2 linked regions of the Anolis sagrei genome follow. Each later gene encodes a partner of the first gene's protein in a complex. Links are inferred from orthologs where the notes say so. Each region holds a gene or a part of one and is shown on either strand. Other genes may lie near its edges.

The links. The genes of interacting proteins can lie anywhere in the genome.
Region 2: OSGEP (region 1) and GON7 share a complex: the UniProt entries of both Homo sapiens proteins name them as parts of the EKC/KEOPS complex. The link is inferred for Anolis sagrei from reciprocal best matches to the Homo sapiens genes OSGEP and GON7.

Annotation. Positions count from the first base shown.
Region 1 is NC_090026.1:13,544,078-13,551,446, forward strand, and holds the start of OSGEP (tRNA N6-adenosine threonylcarbamoyltransferase), read right to left. Parts: upstream 3,011-7,369; 5' UTR 2,782-3,010; intron 704-2,781; 5' UTR 696-703; coding exon 581-695; intron 1-580. UniProt on the Homo sapiens protein: Component of the EKC/KEOPS complex that is required for the formation of a threonylcarbamoyl group on adenosine at position 37 (t(6)A37) in tRNAs that read codons beginning with adenine.
Region 2 is NC_090021.1:316,706,499-316,713,641, forward strand, and holds the start of GON7 (EKC/KEOPS complex subunit GON7), read right to left. Parts: upstream 3,010-7,143; 5' UTR 2,915-3,009; coding exon 2,725-2,914; intron 1-2,724. Other genes in the region: putative E3 ubiquitin-protein ligase UBR7, read left to right, coding at 3,493-3,717. UniProt on the Homo sapiens protein: Component of the EKC/KEOPS complex that is required for the formation of a threonylcarbamoyl group on adenosine at position 37 (t(6)A37) in tRNAs that read codons beginning with adenine.

The DNA of each region.
Region 1 (7,369 bases):
TGTCTTTTTAGAAGCCTCCAAAGAAGGAACCTCCACCACACTCAGGGGCAGAGAGTTCCACTGCTGAAGAGCTTGCACAGTTAGGAAGTTCTTCCTAATGTTCAGATGGAATCTCCTTTCTTGTAGTTTGTAGCCATTGTCCTAGTGTCCAGGGCAGAAGAAAACAGGCCTACTCCTCTCACATATTTATACATGGCCCTCATGTTTCCTCTCCACCTTCTCTCCTGCAGGCTAAACATGCTCAGCTCTTTAAGCCACTCCTCACAGGGCTTGTTCTCCAGACCCTTGATCATTTTAGTCACCCTTCTCTAGACACATTCCAGCTTGTCACCATCTCCCTTCAATTTTGGTGTCCAGAATAATAGTATAGTGCTCTAAGTGTTGGATTATGACTCTGGAGACCAGGATTCAGCCAAGAACAGTAATTCAATGACCTTGGGCAAATAACTTACTCTCTGCCCCAGAAAACCCTGTGACAGGTTCACCTTAGGATTGCCATAAGTTGGAAATGACTTGAAGTCATACAACAATGTGATGCATCTTTGTATACCTGGCATAGCATCATACACAGGATACTTACCCTGCCCTGGAGGAGTGACGTATGTCCTTCGGGGGTTGCTGAGCACCTCTCCATCCCGTACAATCCCAACGCCAATCTTATTGGCACTGCCCTCGAAACCAATAATCACAGGCATATTGTGTCCTTGAAAGCCAGAGAAACAATACAATATTAACTTTTCATCATAGGGAATTGGTGCTGTGATGGGGAAAGGATTAAGAGTTCTTATCCATCTTGGAAACTGGGTCCTATTTAGGCTAGCCTATTTAGCCTAGTAAGGGTCAAGGGAAAGTAGAATAAATATTCAGAAATATTACATATTATTATTAAGCTATGGAACAAAAGGAATCTGCAGCTATCACTCGTTCTATATTAAATTTCCCATGATCTCAGTAATTTCATAGGGTTTTTCAAACTAGAGGAAAGGAGATCCCACCTGAACATTAGGAAGAACTTCCTAACTTTGAGAGCCATTCAGCAGTGGAACTCTCTGCACCGTAGTATGGTGGAGGCTTCTTGGGAGGCTTTTACGCAGAGGCTGGATGGCCATCTGTTGGGGGTGCTTTAAATGCGATTTTCCTGCTTCTTGGTAGGGGGTTGGACTGGATACCTGAGGTCTCTTCCAAATCTATGATTCTTACGTTCCATCTACACCAACCATTTAACTCGGTTTCAAACAGGTATTGAAGAAAGTGGTTTGTCTGTGCAGGTCCAGATGGTGATTACACAAACGTCACAGCATTGATGCACATCAAGGGGCTTTTCTTTTGCATACTTTCATGGGAGTGTGTTGCCTGGCTATTGCAGTTTGAATGTAGCTTCGAACTGAATTAAGCAGGCAGTGTAGATGGTGCCCAAGGCAAGGAATGGTTTGACGCATTCTTTCCTCCGAAATAGAGCCTATGGTGTATTGTTGAAGGCTTTCGTGGCCGGAATCACTGAGTTGTTGCAAGTTTTTTGGGCTGTATGGCCATGTTCCAGAAGCATTCTCTTCTGACGTTACTCTTTATAAAACAAGTTTTGTTTAATATACAGGGTTAGTCAAAATGAATAGGCCAATAAGAAAATTAATTTTAGACTAATGTATGTTTATTGTAACCAAACTACAGCTACGTATCGACAGATAAATTATCAAAGTTTTGTCTCACCTTCAGAGATGTTCGATATGGGCGCCCCGTGTGACACGGCAGACGTCCAAGCGATAGTCCAGTTCATTCCACATCCGTTGCAGCACATCCGACGTAATGGCATCGAATGCAGCCTTCTCTTTGCCTGATTCCGCCATTTTGAAAACAGCAACTCCTAGCGACGCCTAGCGGCATTAACGTACATGTGTGTTGCTCAAAAAAAACTTTGATAGTTTATCTGTCGCTACGTAGCTGTGGTTTGGTTACAGTAAACATACATTCAGGTACAATTAATTTTCTTATTGGCCTATTCATTTTGACTAACCCTGTATTGTCAAAGGCTTTCATGTCCGGAATCACGGGGTTGTTGTGAGTTTTCCGGGCTGTATGGCTATGTTCCAGGAGCATTCTCTCCTGACGTTAAAGAAAGTAAATAAAGAACAACACTCAAAAACAGGGGAACTCCGGACAAGAAACAATCAGGGCCAGCTAATCACCTCTCAACAAAGGATTTCCCCCAGGCAATAAGAAGCCAGATCTTGAAACTGCTAGGTCATTCAATGCTAATCAAGGTGGTCCATTGTTACATTCACACCTATCTCCAGCAGACAAGAGTTTTTTCTCCCACCCTGGACTTTCACAGATATATAAACCCTACTTGCATAGGGTTGTTGTAGGTTTTTCCGAGCTATATGACCATGTTCTGGAGGCAATTTTTCTCCTGACGTTTCGCCTGCATCTATGGCAAGCATCCTCAGAGGTAATGAGGTCTGTTGGAAGTAGGAAAAATGGATTTATATATCTGTGGAATGACCAGGTGAGACAAAGGACTTTTGTCTGCTGGGGCTAGGTGTGAATGTTTCATCTGATCACCTCGATTAGCATTCAATGGCTTGGAAGTGCCCGGGGGAATCCCTTGTTGAGAGTGATTTTACTTACTTGCATAGTTTCCAACAGACCTCACAACTTCTGAGGATGCCTGCCATAGATGCAGGCAAAACTTCAGGAGAGAATGCTTCTGGAACATGGCCATACAGCCTGAAAAACTTGCAACAACCCAGAACCTACAGTGCACCCCTGTTTTCTATTCCTTACCTCCAGCAGATTTTATCCTCCTTCCTGTCCTTTGTTTTTGCTTTTTCCAATTTTTCTGCTTCAAAAAGGTAAACAAAACCTCAGTTTTGGCAACTGGAGAATATTAGGATCTATAATAAGAAAATAATATACTTTGAACCAAAGGAAGAGTTGCTTTGAAAGTGGAAAGCCCCAGAGGAGGACAGATGAGAAAGGGTTAAATTTGCTTCACTCCTTCCCTCTCCCTCTTAGGAAAATGTTTCTAGAGATAGGAAAATGAAACAACACCTTGCAATGAATACTTCCGGTTAGCATTCGACAGCCGCCATATGCGGGGAATGAGTGGCTGAAGAGGAATAAAGAAATATTCTCACAGCAACCCAATTAAGAAATACTTTAATGAGGAAAAGGGGCATGTCATACATAGAGGATTTTCCCTTTCTATCTCTGGATTCTCTAATTTGCAGTATTCCTTTTTTTCCCCTCATTGTTCAATTGAGAACCTTAGTTGTATAGTTTCAATAAAAGCTTGTTACTCTTAGGGCAAAAAGAAAACCCAGACTGGACAGAATATAGTGACGTCATCGCGCGCCAAGCCCCGCCCACTGGTCCCTCTCCACATGATAAGGCGGGGCTTCTCACATTCTCTTCCGCGTTGTGTTTAACCCCTTCGCTTCTGGACTCTTTTCCGATTGGCTTGGGCGGCTAACCCCGCCCCCTGACGTCATCGGGACAGCCCAGAAACCCTTGTCACGTGATACCAAGTGACTCCACGTGCTCCTGGCTTTCTCCATTCTACCAAAAGGAGTAATTGTCTGCGGATTGTCTCCAAGGGGCGCTTTTGGGATCTTGGCCTGGTAAGAGTAGCAGCCAGGAAGAAGCATCAATTACTGTGCAATATAATAATAATAATAATAATAATAATAATAATAATAATTTGCTTTGCCTTGATCTAAAAAAAAGGACTTCCATCTTTGCAGAGGGTGCTTCTACACTATTATTTATTTATTTGTTTATTTATTTGCATTTTTATGCCGCCCTTCTCACCCCCAATATATTATTAACATAGTACAATCATAGAATCAAAGAGTTGGAAGAGACCTCATGGGCCATTCAGTCCAACCCCATTCTGCCAAGAAACAGGACTATTGCATTCAAATCACCCCTGACAGATGGCCATCCAGCCCCTGTTTAAAAGCTTCCAAAGAAGGAGCCTCCACCACACTCCGGGGCAGAGAGTTCCACTGCTGAACGGCTCTCACAGCCAGGAAGTTCTTCCTCATGTTCAGATGGAATCTCCTCTCTTGTAGTTTGAAGCCATTGCTCCGCGTCCTAGTCTCCAAGGAAGCAAAAAACAAGCTTGCTCCCTCCTCCCTGTGGCTTCCTCTCACATATTTATACATGGCTATCATATCCCCTCTCAGCCTTCTCTTCTTCAGGCTAAACATGCCCAGCTCCTTAAGCCGCTCCTCATAGGGCTTGTTCTCCAGACCTTTTATCATTTTAGTCGCTCTCCTCTGGACACCTTCCAGCTTGTCAATATCTCTCTTGAATTGTGGTGCCCAGAATTGGACACAATATTCCAGATGTGGTCTAACCAAAACAGAACAGAGGGGTAGCATGACTTCCTTAGATCTAGACACTATGCTCCTATTGATGCAGGCCAAAATCCCATTGGCTTTTTTTGCCGCCACATCACATTGTTGGCTCATGTTTAACTTGTTGTCCACGAGGACTCCTAGATCTTTTTCACTCATACTGCTCTCGAGCCAGGCGTCCCCCATTCTGTATCTTTGCATTTCATTTTTCCTGCCAAAGTGGAGTATCTTGCATTTGTCACTGTTGAACTTCATTTTGTTAGTTTTGGCCCATCTCTAATCTGTCAAGATCGTTTTGAATCCTGCTCCTGTCCTCTGGAGTATTGGCTATCCCTCCCAATTTGGTGTCCTCTGCAAACTTGATGATCATGCCTTCTAACCCTTCATCTAATATCAGTATTAAATACTACTATATTGTACTATACCATTATACTGTAATCTTATTAGTAATATTACATGTAATATACATATATAATTATACTATCATATTATTATATTGCATTAAAGGTAAAGATTTTCCCCTGACATGAAGTCCAGTTGTGTCCGACTCTGGGGGTTGGTGCGCATCTCCATTTCTAAGCCAAAGAGCCGGCGTTGTCTGTAGACACCTCCAAGATCTCATGGCCAGCACGACTGCATGAAGCTCCATTGCCTTCCCTATTGATCTACTCATATTTGCATGTTTTCAAACTGCTAGGTTGACAGAAGCTGGGCCTAACAGCAGGAGTTTACATTTCAGGCCGTCACCCTAAATATACTTGCTCAAAAGAAAGCCCCAATGGACATAGTAAAGTAAAGGTAAAGGTTTTCCCCTGACATTAAGTCTAGTTGTGTCTGACTCTGGGGAGTGTTGCTCATCTCCATTTCTAAGCCAAAGAGCCGGCGTTGTCCGTAGACACCTCCAAGGTCATGTGGCCGGCATGACTGTATGGAGCGCTGTTACCATCCTGCCTGAGCGGTACCTATTGATCTACTCATATTTCCATGTTTTTGAACTGCTAGGTTGGCAGAAGCTGGGGCTGACAGCTTATTGCATTACATTATCATATTATAAATATTATATGTATGTACACTATATTATTTTACATTACATTATATTATTAGCATAGCACAGGAGACAAGATAGAACTGTCCTCTGGCCCCCTCTCTTTTCACTCTGGCCCAGAGCAGCAGTTGGTGCTGGGGGAGGGGTCCTCTACTGTCTGTCTATATATGTTTTGTGTCTATGGGATTGAATGTTTGCCATGTATATGTACATTGTAATCCGCCCCGAGTCCTCTGCAGGGTGAGAAGGGCTGAATATAAATACTGTAAATTAATAAATGGGCAAGATGGATGGATGGCATCCTTGAAGTGACTGGACTGACCTTGAAGGAGCTGGGGGTGGTGACGGCCGACAGGGAGCTCTGGCGTGGGCTGGTCCATGAGGTCACGAAGAGTCGGAGACGACTGAACGAATGAACAGCAACAACAAATTAATAAATACTGATGACACATAAGTAAGAGATAAGATGGAACTGTCCTCTGGCACCTTCTCTCTTCACTCTGGCCTAGAGCAGCAGTTGGTGCTGGAAGATTAATCAAGTTTGATAACACTTAAGGATGGGGTACAAATGCTCGAAATGAACCAGTAAACACAGCAAATTGTTGTGTTTCTACAGTTCTAGAGCCCCATCGCCACTGTCATATAATGCCCGTTGGCTGCATTATATGGAATTATAAGTCTACAACACTGCCCATATAATGCACTTTCAGACTGCATTATATGACAGTAGAGATGGACACACTTTCCCCTCCATATAAATATTTTTAAAATGGACTATGTCTTAGAATTGTGAGTGCTTTCTCATTTGTATATATAAATAGTTTTTTTCAGTTGTTGGTACTGAGATTAGTGTGTTGATACTTACTTACTTAGGCGATCCCTCATCCAAGTAAAATTGTCTTCCAAGTTCGGTGTCCTGGCGATGGGTCCATAGGTGGCTGTGGAGCTCTATTCTTGATCTGCATCTTCTCCTGCAGTGAGGGTATTGGTTTCCAAGTGGAAGGCGGTCCCAGTTGGGATTGGCTTGATGCGCCTTCCTCTTGGCACGTTTCTTTTGCTCTCCATTCGTGCCTCTTCAAATTCTACAGCACTGCTGCTCACAACTGACCTCCAACTGGAGCGCTCAAGGGCCAGGGCTTCCCAGTTCTCCGTATATATGCCAGAGTTTTTAAGGTTGGCTTTGAGCCCATCGTTAAATCTCTTTTCCTGCCCACCAACATTCCATTTTCCATTCTTGAGTTCGGAGTAGAGCAACTGCTTTGGAAAACGGTGGTCAGACAATGTGGCTGGTCCAGCTGAGTTGATGGCGGAGGACCATCACTTCAATGCTGGTGATCTTTGCTTTTTCCAGCACGCTGACATTTGTCTGCTTGTCTTCCCAAGAGATTTGCAGGATTTCTTTTGGAGGCAACGCCGATGGAATCGTTCCAGGAGTTGCATGTGACATCTGTAGATAGTCCACCTTTTGTAGGCATAGAATAGTGTTGGGAGGACAATAGCTTTATAAACAAGCACCTTGTATTCTAACTACAAGAAAGGAGATTCCATCTGAACATGAGGAAGAACTTCCTGACTGTGGAAGCTGTGCAGCAGTGGAACTCTCTGCCCCGGAGTGTGGTGGAGGCTCCTTCTTTGGAAGCTTTTAAACAGAGGCTGGATGACCATCTGTCAGGGGTGCTTGGAATGCAATATTCCTGCTTCTTGGCAGAGGGTTGGACTGGATGGCCCATGAGGTCTCTTCCAACTCTATGATTCTACGATTCTATCCCTACGGATGTCCCGGTCTTCAAACACTCTCTGCTTCATTCGGAAAAATTCTGCACTCGCAGAGCTCAGGCGATGTTGTATTTCATTGTCAACGTTGACTTTTGTGGCTGCCAAGGTAGCGGAAATGGTCAACATTTTCTAATGTTACACCATTAAGCTGTATTTCTGGCATTGCAGAGGGATCGGCTGATTACTGCTG
Region 2 (7,143 bases), on another chromosome or scaffold:
AAACAAACATTACATTTTTATTTATATAGACTAGCTAACCCCTGCCACGCGTTGCTGTGGCCCAGTCTCGTGATCTGGAAAATAAAGTAATGAGAAGGTGTTGGTTTCTAATATATGTAATTTCTTTATGCTTGTGGGTAAACAGTATTTTTTGTTTCTTTGTCAGTGTTCATATGGAGATTGTCTGGTTTGCCTACTCTGGAACACGCAACATATAATTGTTCTTCTTTAGAGGTCCCTTTCAAATCTATGATACTATACTTGTGTGTGTTACTCATATATATCTATCTATATCTATGGCTGGATGGCTCTTTGTCAGGAGGGCTTTGATTACGTTTTCTTGCCCTGGTGAAGGGAGTTGGACTCAATGGCCATGGGGGTTCTGTCTGGGAAGTTTGGCCCAATTCTCTAGTTGCTGGGGTTCAGAATGCTCTTTGATTGTAACTGAACTATACATCCCAGTAACTACAACTCCCAAATGCCAAGGTCTATTCCCCCCAAACTCCATCTGTGTTCATAATTGGGCATATTGAGTGCTTGTGCCAAGTTTGGTCCAGATCCACCATTGTTTGAGTCCACAGCGCTCTCTGGATGTAAGTGAACTGCAACTTCCAAACTCAAGGTCAATGCCCATCAAACCCTTCCAGTATTTTCTGTCAGTCATAGGAGTTCTGTGTGCCAAGTTCAATTCCATTGTTGGTGGAGTTCGGAATGCTCTTTGATTGTAAGTGAACTATAAATCCCAGCAACTACAACTCCCAAATGACAAAATTAATTTTTTTGAGTGATGGTCACTCCTTGGGCAATTTGTCCAGTGGTTTTTGAGTTATGTTAATCCCACAAACAAACATTACATTTTTATTTATATACTAGCTGTACCCGCCACTTTCTCTTCTTTCTTTCTCTCCTTCCCTCGCTCTTTCCTTCCTTCCCTTTTTTCTTTCTTTCTCTCCTTCCTTCTCTCCCTCTTTCCTTCCTTCCCCTCCCCTTTTCTTTCCCTTTTTTCTTCTCCTTTCTTCCTTCTCTACCTCTTTTCTTCCTTCTGTCTTTCCTTCTCTCCCTCTTTCTTTCCCTTTCCCTCCTTCCTTCCCTTATTTTCTTTCCTTCTCTCCTTTCTTTCTCCCCACCTTTTCTTTTCCTTCTCCTTCCTTCTTTCTTTCCCTCCCTCTTTCTTTCTTATTTTCTTTCTCCCCTTCCTTCCCTTTTTCTGTATTGTCATTTAGTTTTTCATCATTTAGCATTTTTGGGGTTTTAAAGTCCTTTCCACTGTTTTGGGGGGGGGGGATTTATGAGAGATGGATACTCGTTAGACTGTTAGGTGTCTTGTGTCCCAATTTGGTGTCAATTCCTCCAGTGTTTTTTGAGTTATGTTGATCCCACAAACGAACATTACATTTTTATTTATATAGATAGATAGATCTATAAAACATCTACTTCTGCTTCATTGACTATTCTAAAGCCTTTGACTGTGTGGATCATAATAAATTGTGGCAAGTTCTTGGTGGGATGGGCATACCAAGTCACCTTGTCTCTCTCCTGAGGAATCTGTACAAGGACCAAGTAGCAACAGTAAGAACTGACCACGGAACAACAGACTGGTTCAAGATTGGGAAAGGCGTACGGCAAGGATGCATACTCTCACCCAACCTTTTTAACTTGTATGCAGAACACATCATGCGATGTGCGGGGCTTGATGAATGCAAAGCTGGGGTGAAAATTGCTGGAAGAAACATTAACAACCTCAGATATGCAGATGACACCACTCTGATGGCCAAAAGCGAGGAGGAGCTGAGGAGCCTTCTAATCAAGGTGAAAGAAGAAAGCGCAAAAGCTGGGTTGCAGCTAAACATCAAAAAAACCAAGATTATGGCAACAAGAATGATTGACAACTGGAAAATAGAGGAAGAAATTGTGGAGGCCGTGACAGACTTTGTATTTCTAGTTGCAAAGATTACTGCAGATGCAGACTGTGGCCAGGAAATCAGAAGACGCTTACTTCTTGGGAGGAGAGCAATGTCCAGTCTCGATAAAATAGTAAAGAGTAGAGACATCACACTGGCAACAAAGATCCGCCTAGTCAAAGCCATGGTATTCCCTGTAGTAACCTACGGATGTGAGAGCTGGACCTTAGGGAAGGCTGAGCGAAGGAAGATCGATGCTTTTGAGCTGTGGTGTTGGAGGAAAGTGCTGAGAGTGCCTTGGACTGCGAGAAGATCCAACCAGTGCATCCTCCAGGAAATAAAGGCCGACTGCTCACTGGAGGGAAAGATACTAGAGACAAAGTTGAAGTACTTTGGCCACATCATGAGGAGACAGCAAAGCCTAGAGAAGACAATTATGCTGGGGAAAGTGGAAGGCAAAAGGAAGAGGGGCCGACCAAGGGCAAGATGGATGGATGGCATCCTTGAAGTGACTGGACTGACTTTGAAGGAGCTGGGGGTGGTGACGGCCGACAGGGAGCTCTGGCGTGCACTGGTCCATGTGGTCACGAAGAGTCGGAGACGACTGAACGAATGAACAACAACAGATAGAAGATAAGAAGAAAGATGGCATATATGGTCAAGCCGCTTAAGCGGCTGAGGGGGAAAAGGAAGGGGCCCGAGGCTGATAGGAATTGTGGGAGTTGGAGTCCAAAACCCCTGGAGGGCCGAGGTTTGACCATGCCTGGTGTAGATGCTCCCTGCACATAGGCGGGCCCTCTGCCAAGGCCTGCGGGGCCCTCACCTGCACCCGCGCCCGGCTCTCCGCCGGCGCGGCTCTCCTGCTCGACCAGTGGGCCGAGGAGGGCGCTGACTTGCTCCCGAAGGCGTGCCAAGCCCCCGAGGAGGCCCCGCAGCTCCCCCGGAGGCTCGCAAGAGACCCGCAGCGGTCGCTTCTCCCCTCCGCGGCCTGTCAGCTCCGCCCGCAGCTCCATCTCGCCCTTCCCGACGTGGCTAGGCAACCAATCTCCTCACCGCTTTGAACCGGAAGCAGAACTTTCTCGGAGAGAGGAAACCCAAGTCGTCCTCCTTTGGCCACACCCACCAGCGTGACGTCAGAGCCCCGCCCAGTCTCTTCCCTAGCTGTTGTGCGTTGTTTTCTCCAGCCTCGCCTCCTTCTAGCTCTGATTGATTCCGATTGGCTCAGTGGTCTCACGTGATTCTGCTCCCTTTTCTTTCCCTCTTATGATCTCAACATCACAGTCTGCATAGTTAACATTTCGCCGTCTTTAGAGGCTCTGATTGGCTCTCGCAGATCTGCCCGGCCCTGATTGGCCCTTCGCGGCTCACGTGATTCCGCACCCAAGTGCTCAGCTTTCCTCCGTCCTCTAGCTTTGATTGGCTCCCGCGTGACACGTGACACATCCCTTTTCCTTTTTTTTGGTCTCTCCCCTCTTGAGATCCGTGAGCGTCGCGGCAACTTTCGTTTCCGCTTCCGGTGGTTGGGGCGTTTTCCCGCCTTTTTTTCCCCCCTTCTCTTCCTGCTTGTCTTAGTATTGTTTCTGTCAGCAAGATGGAGAAGGAGGCGCCGGCAGCTGCGGCTTCGAACTCCGGCAAAGGCGAGGAAGGGGACGACAGGCCCAAGGAGAGCGCCGCCGCTGCCGAGGAGGGAGAAGAGCGGAGCGGCGAGGAGCCCGTGGTGTCGCTGGCCGAGGTGCTGGCCGAGAGCGAGCAGCTCGAGCAGGAGGCGCGCGCCGTGCTGGGAGGCAGCGACCACGAGAGGTGCAGCTACTCCCAGGTGAGGAGGAGGCCTCTCAGGGGCAGGCAGGGGGAAACCGCCCATGTTAGTGTGGTCTGCGGTGCTTTCCTCTATTTCCCCCTCCTTTTCTTCCCTGCTTTCCCTCCCACACCTTTCCCCCTCATCTTCCTTTCTCTTTCTTTTCTTTCCTTCTGTCTCCTCAGTACCATTCCCCCCTTTTTGTCTCCTTTTCCACCCCCCATGTTGCTCCACCTCCACTGCTGCACTCGGACCCTGAAGCCTCTTTCCACCACAAACCAACTTGATAACAGCACCTGTGCAGGTACAGCTGTACCAGGAGCTCCAATGTTGTTTGCTTTGCATTCAATGTTTGTTTGCAATCCCAGGCTTAGGATTTTGCAGCATTCCTATTACAGTTTGCAATCATAGGGCAAGCCACCTGTCAATTATAGTTAGGTTCCCTGGTCCCGCCCCCTTTTTAGGTTTTGGAGGGAATAGGAGCCAGTTTGAGTTCAGGACATATGCTGGACATAATACCATAGTGTAATGTTGTTGTTCTTATTGCTTATGTTTTTAATTTGCTTGTCTTATATTGTTATTGTCTGTTGTTGTTTGAGGCCTTGGCCTTTGTAAGCCGCATCGAGTCCTTCGGGAGATGCTAGCAGAGTACAAATAAAGTTTAATAATAATAATAATAATGGAGCCCCCCGTGGCGCAGTGGGTTAAAGCACTGAGCTGCTGAGCTTGTTGATCGAAAGGTCACAGGTTCGATTCCGGGGAGCGGCGTGAGCTTCCGCTGTCAGCCCTAGCTTCTGCCAACCTAGCAGTTCGAAAACATGCAAATGTGAGTAGATCAATAGGTACCGCTCCGGCGGGAAGGTAACGGCGCTCCATGCAGTCATGCCGGCCACATGACCTTGGAGGTGTCTACGGACAACGCTGACTCTTCGGCTTAGAAATGGAGATGAGCACCACACCCCAGAGTCAGACATGACTGGACTTAATGTCAGGGGACTACCTTTACCTTTAATAATAATAATAATACCAAGAGCTCCTGTAGAAAGCTTCGTCTTCTACAGCTTGGCTGGGGTTATACAGCCCACAGCTTGGCCGAGGATCATACAGCCTTACAGCTCCTTTGCTGGGGGACTTCAGCCAGCCATCACCGAAACCTGAACTCTTTTTTCCCTGGAAGTCTACAAAGCTCTGCTTGGTAAGGGTCACTCACAGAAGCCAGACGCAGTTGGTACCAGGTGTAGGGGCTCCATGCCAACAGAGGTAAAGACAGATTGCCCAGATTAGAAGTTAAGGATTTCCCCATTAGTTAAAATACCAGTCATGAAGATAGTGCCTGTTCCCTGTGGACAAGATTGAAAGAGCCTATAGACTAGGGGTCCACAAACTTTTTAAACAGAGGGCCAGGTCACAGTCCCTCAAACTGTTGGAGGGCTGGATTACAATTTGGAAAAAAAAAACATGAATGAATTCCTATGCACGCTGCACATATCTTATTTTAGTAAGATATGTGCAGATATGTATAGTAAGATATGTGCAGTGCAAAAAACACTTAAAATCAATACAATAATTAAAATGAGGAACAATGTTAACAAATATAAACTTATTAGTATTTCAATGGGAAATGTGGGCCTGCTTTTGGCTGATGAGATAGGATTGTTATGTGCTTTCAAGTAGTTTCAGACTTAGATTGACCCTGAGTGAGGGCCGGGTAAATGACCTTGGAGGGCCGCATCCAGCCCCCGGGCCTTAGTTTGAGGACCCCTGCTATAGACTGTTAAGAAAGCCTTGAAATACCTGTTTGTTTTCATAAATAAAGAACTTTGTTGAACCTTTAAGTACTCTAGAGACTCTGTTTAAGGAAATCCAAAGGCCTTTAATCTGAGGCAGCCCCGGCGTCCTATTGGGCACACAGAATTTATGTCCTGTCTACTGTCTTATGCACAGGCCCAGCGTGCGACAGCATAGCACCTGTCCGAACGCATCTCCCCCAATGAACCATAGCGGAGGTGATGATCTAATGGGGAGGCCCTGCTCGCGGTCCCGCAACCATCACAGGCAAACATTAAATGCTGCAAGGTGCTGGACAAAGAAGTAAATAACCAAAACGACCCAAGTCTCACAAAAAATAAAATCAACATTCACATTTTTAAAAAAATATATAAACATTTATTACGGTCAATGACCAGCATAAAAAAAGTACAAGTGACAGGGTGTGTAAGTGTCAGAGTACGCACACATGTACAAGCACAAGTACAGAAGTATACAAGCATCAGGTTACACACACATCCGGATATCAGGAAACAATGTTAAAACAGAGTTTAAAACCCAATATTAAATAAGGTAATTAAAATGGTGTTAAATGTTTAAATACTAAAACATTCACATTAAAATAATAAAGATGTTACTAAAATTGAGGGATAATAACAAAATTATGAATTCACAGGTACCTTTCCCCCAATTTTGACCCCTTCTCTCTCACTTCTTCCTCCCTTCCTTTCCCTCATACAGGTGTCACGTATCAGCAGCCAATATCAAAATTATCAAAATGTACCAAAACACTTCAGTACCGGCTTGGAAAATTGCATTTTATAGCAAAAGAAAGCCCATCCTCAACACATTCTTTTTGGTTCCTGTGCAATTTGTTCAGATAGATTTGGCACCTTTTGGGGGGGGGGGAAATCCCTACTGGAGATCTCATTGGCTTTTGATACCATTGACCATAGTATCCTTCTGGTTCGTCTTGCTAGTATGGGAATTGGAGGCACTGTTTTACAGTGGCTCCGTCCTTCCTGGAGGGCCATACCCAGAAAGTGGTGCTGGTGGACTCCTGGCCGTTGACCTTTGGGGTTTCTCAGGCTCAGGGTTGTTCCTCATGCTATTCAACATATACATGAAGTTAATGGGAGAAGTAATCAGGACTTTTGGAGTATGGTACCAGCTGTATGCCTATGACACCCAACTCTACTACTCCTTTCCACCTAAAGGGAAGGAAGCTGTCCTGACCCTAAACCAGTGCCTGTTATTAGTAATGGACTGGATGAGGACAAACAAATTGAAACTTAATCTAGACAAGACAGAGGTACTCCTGGTCAGTTGGAAGGCAGACCAGGAATAGGGATCCAACCTGTGCTGCATGGGGTTACACTCCCCCTGAAGAAATAGGTCCGCAGTTTGAGGACCCTACTGTACTCAGTGCTGAACCTGGAAGCAGGTATCTGCAGAGGCTAGGAGGGCCTTTGCACAATTAAAGTTTGTGTGCCAACTTTAATTGTGACAAACAATTAAAGTTTGTCTGCCGTCGCGCTTTCGAAGAATAGCCACATAATTTTATGCTAGTGCTCCTCCAATGTTCTTGTCCCAGGAGTCCCCCGCCCCCCCCCCATCCCACACACACACACACACACACACACAAACACACATGAAGATTGGCTTAATTTCCTCTCTCTC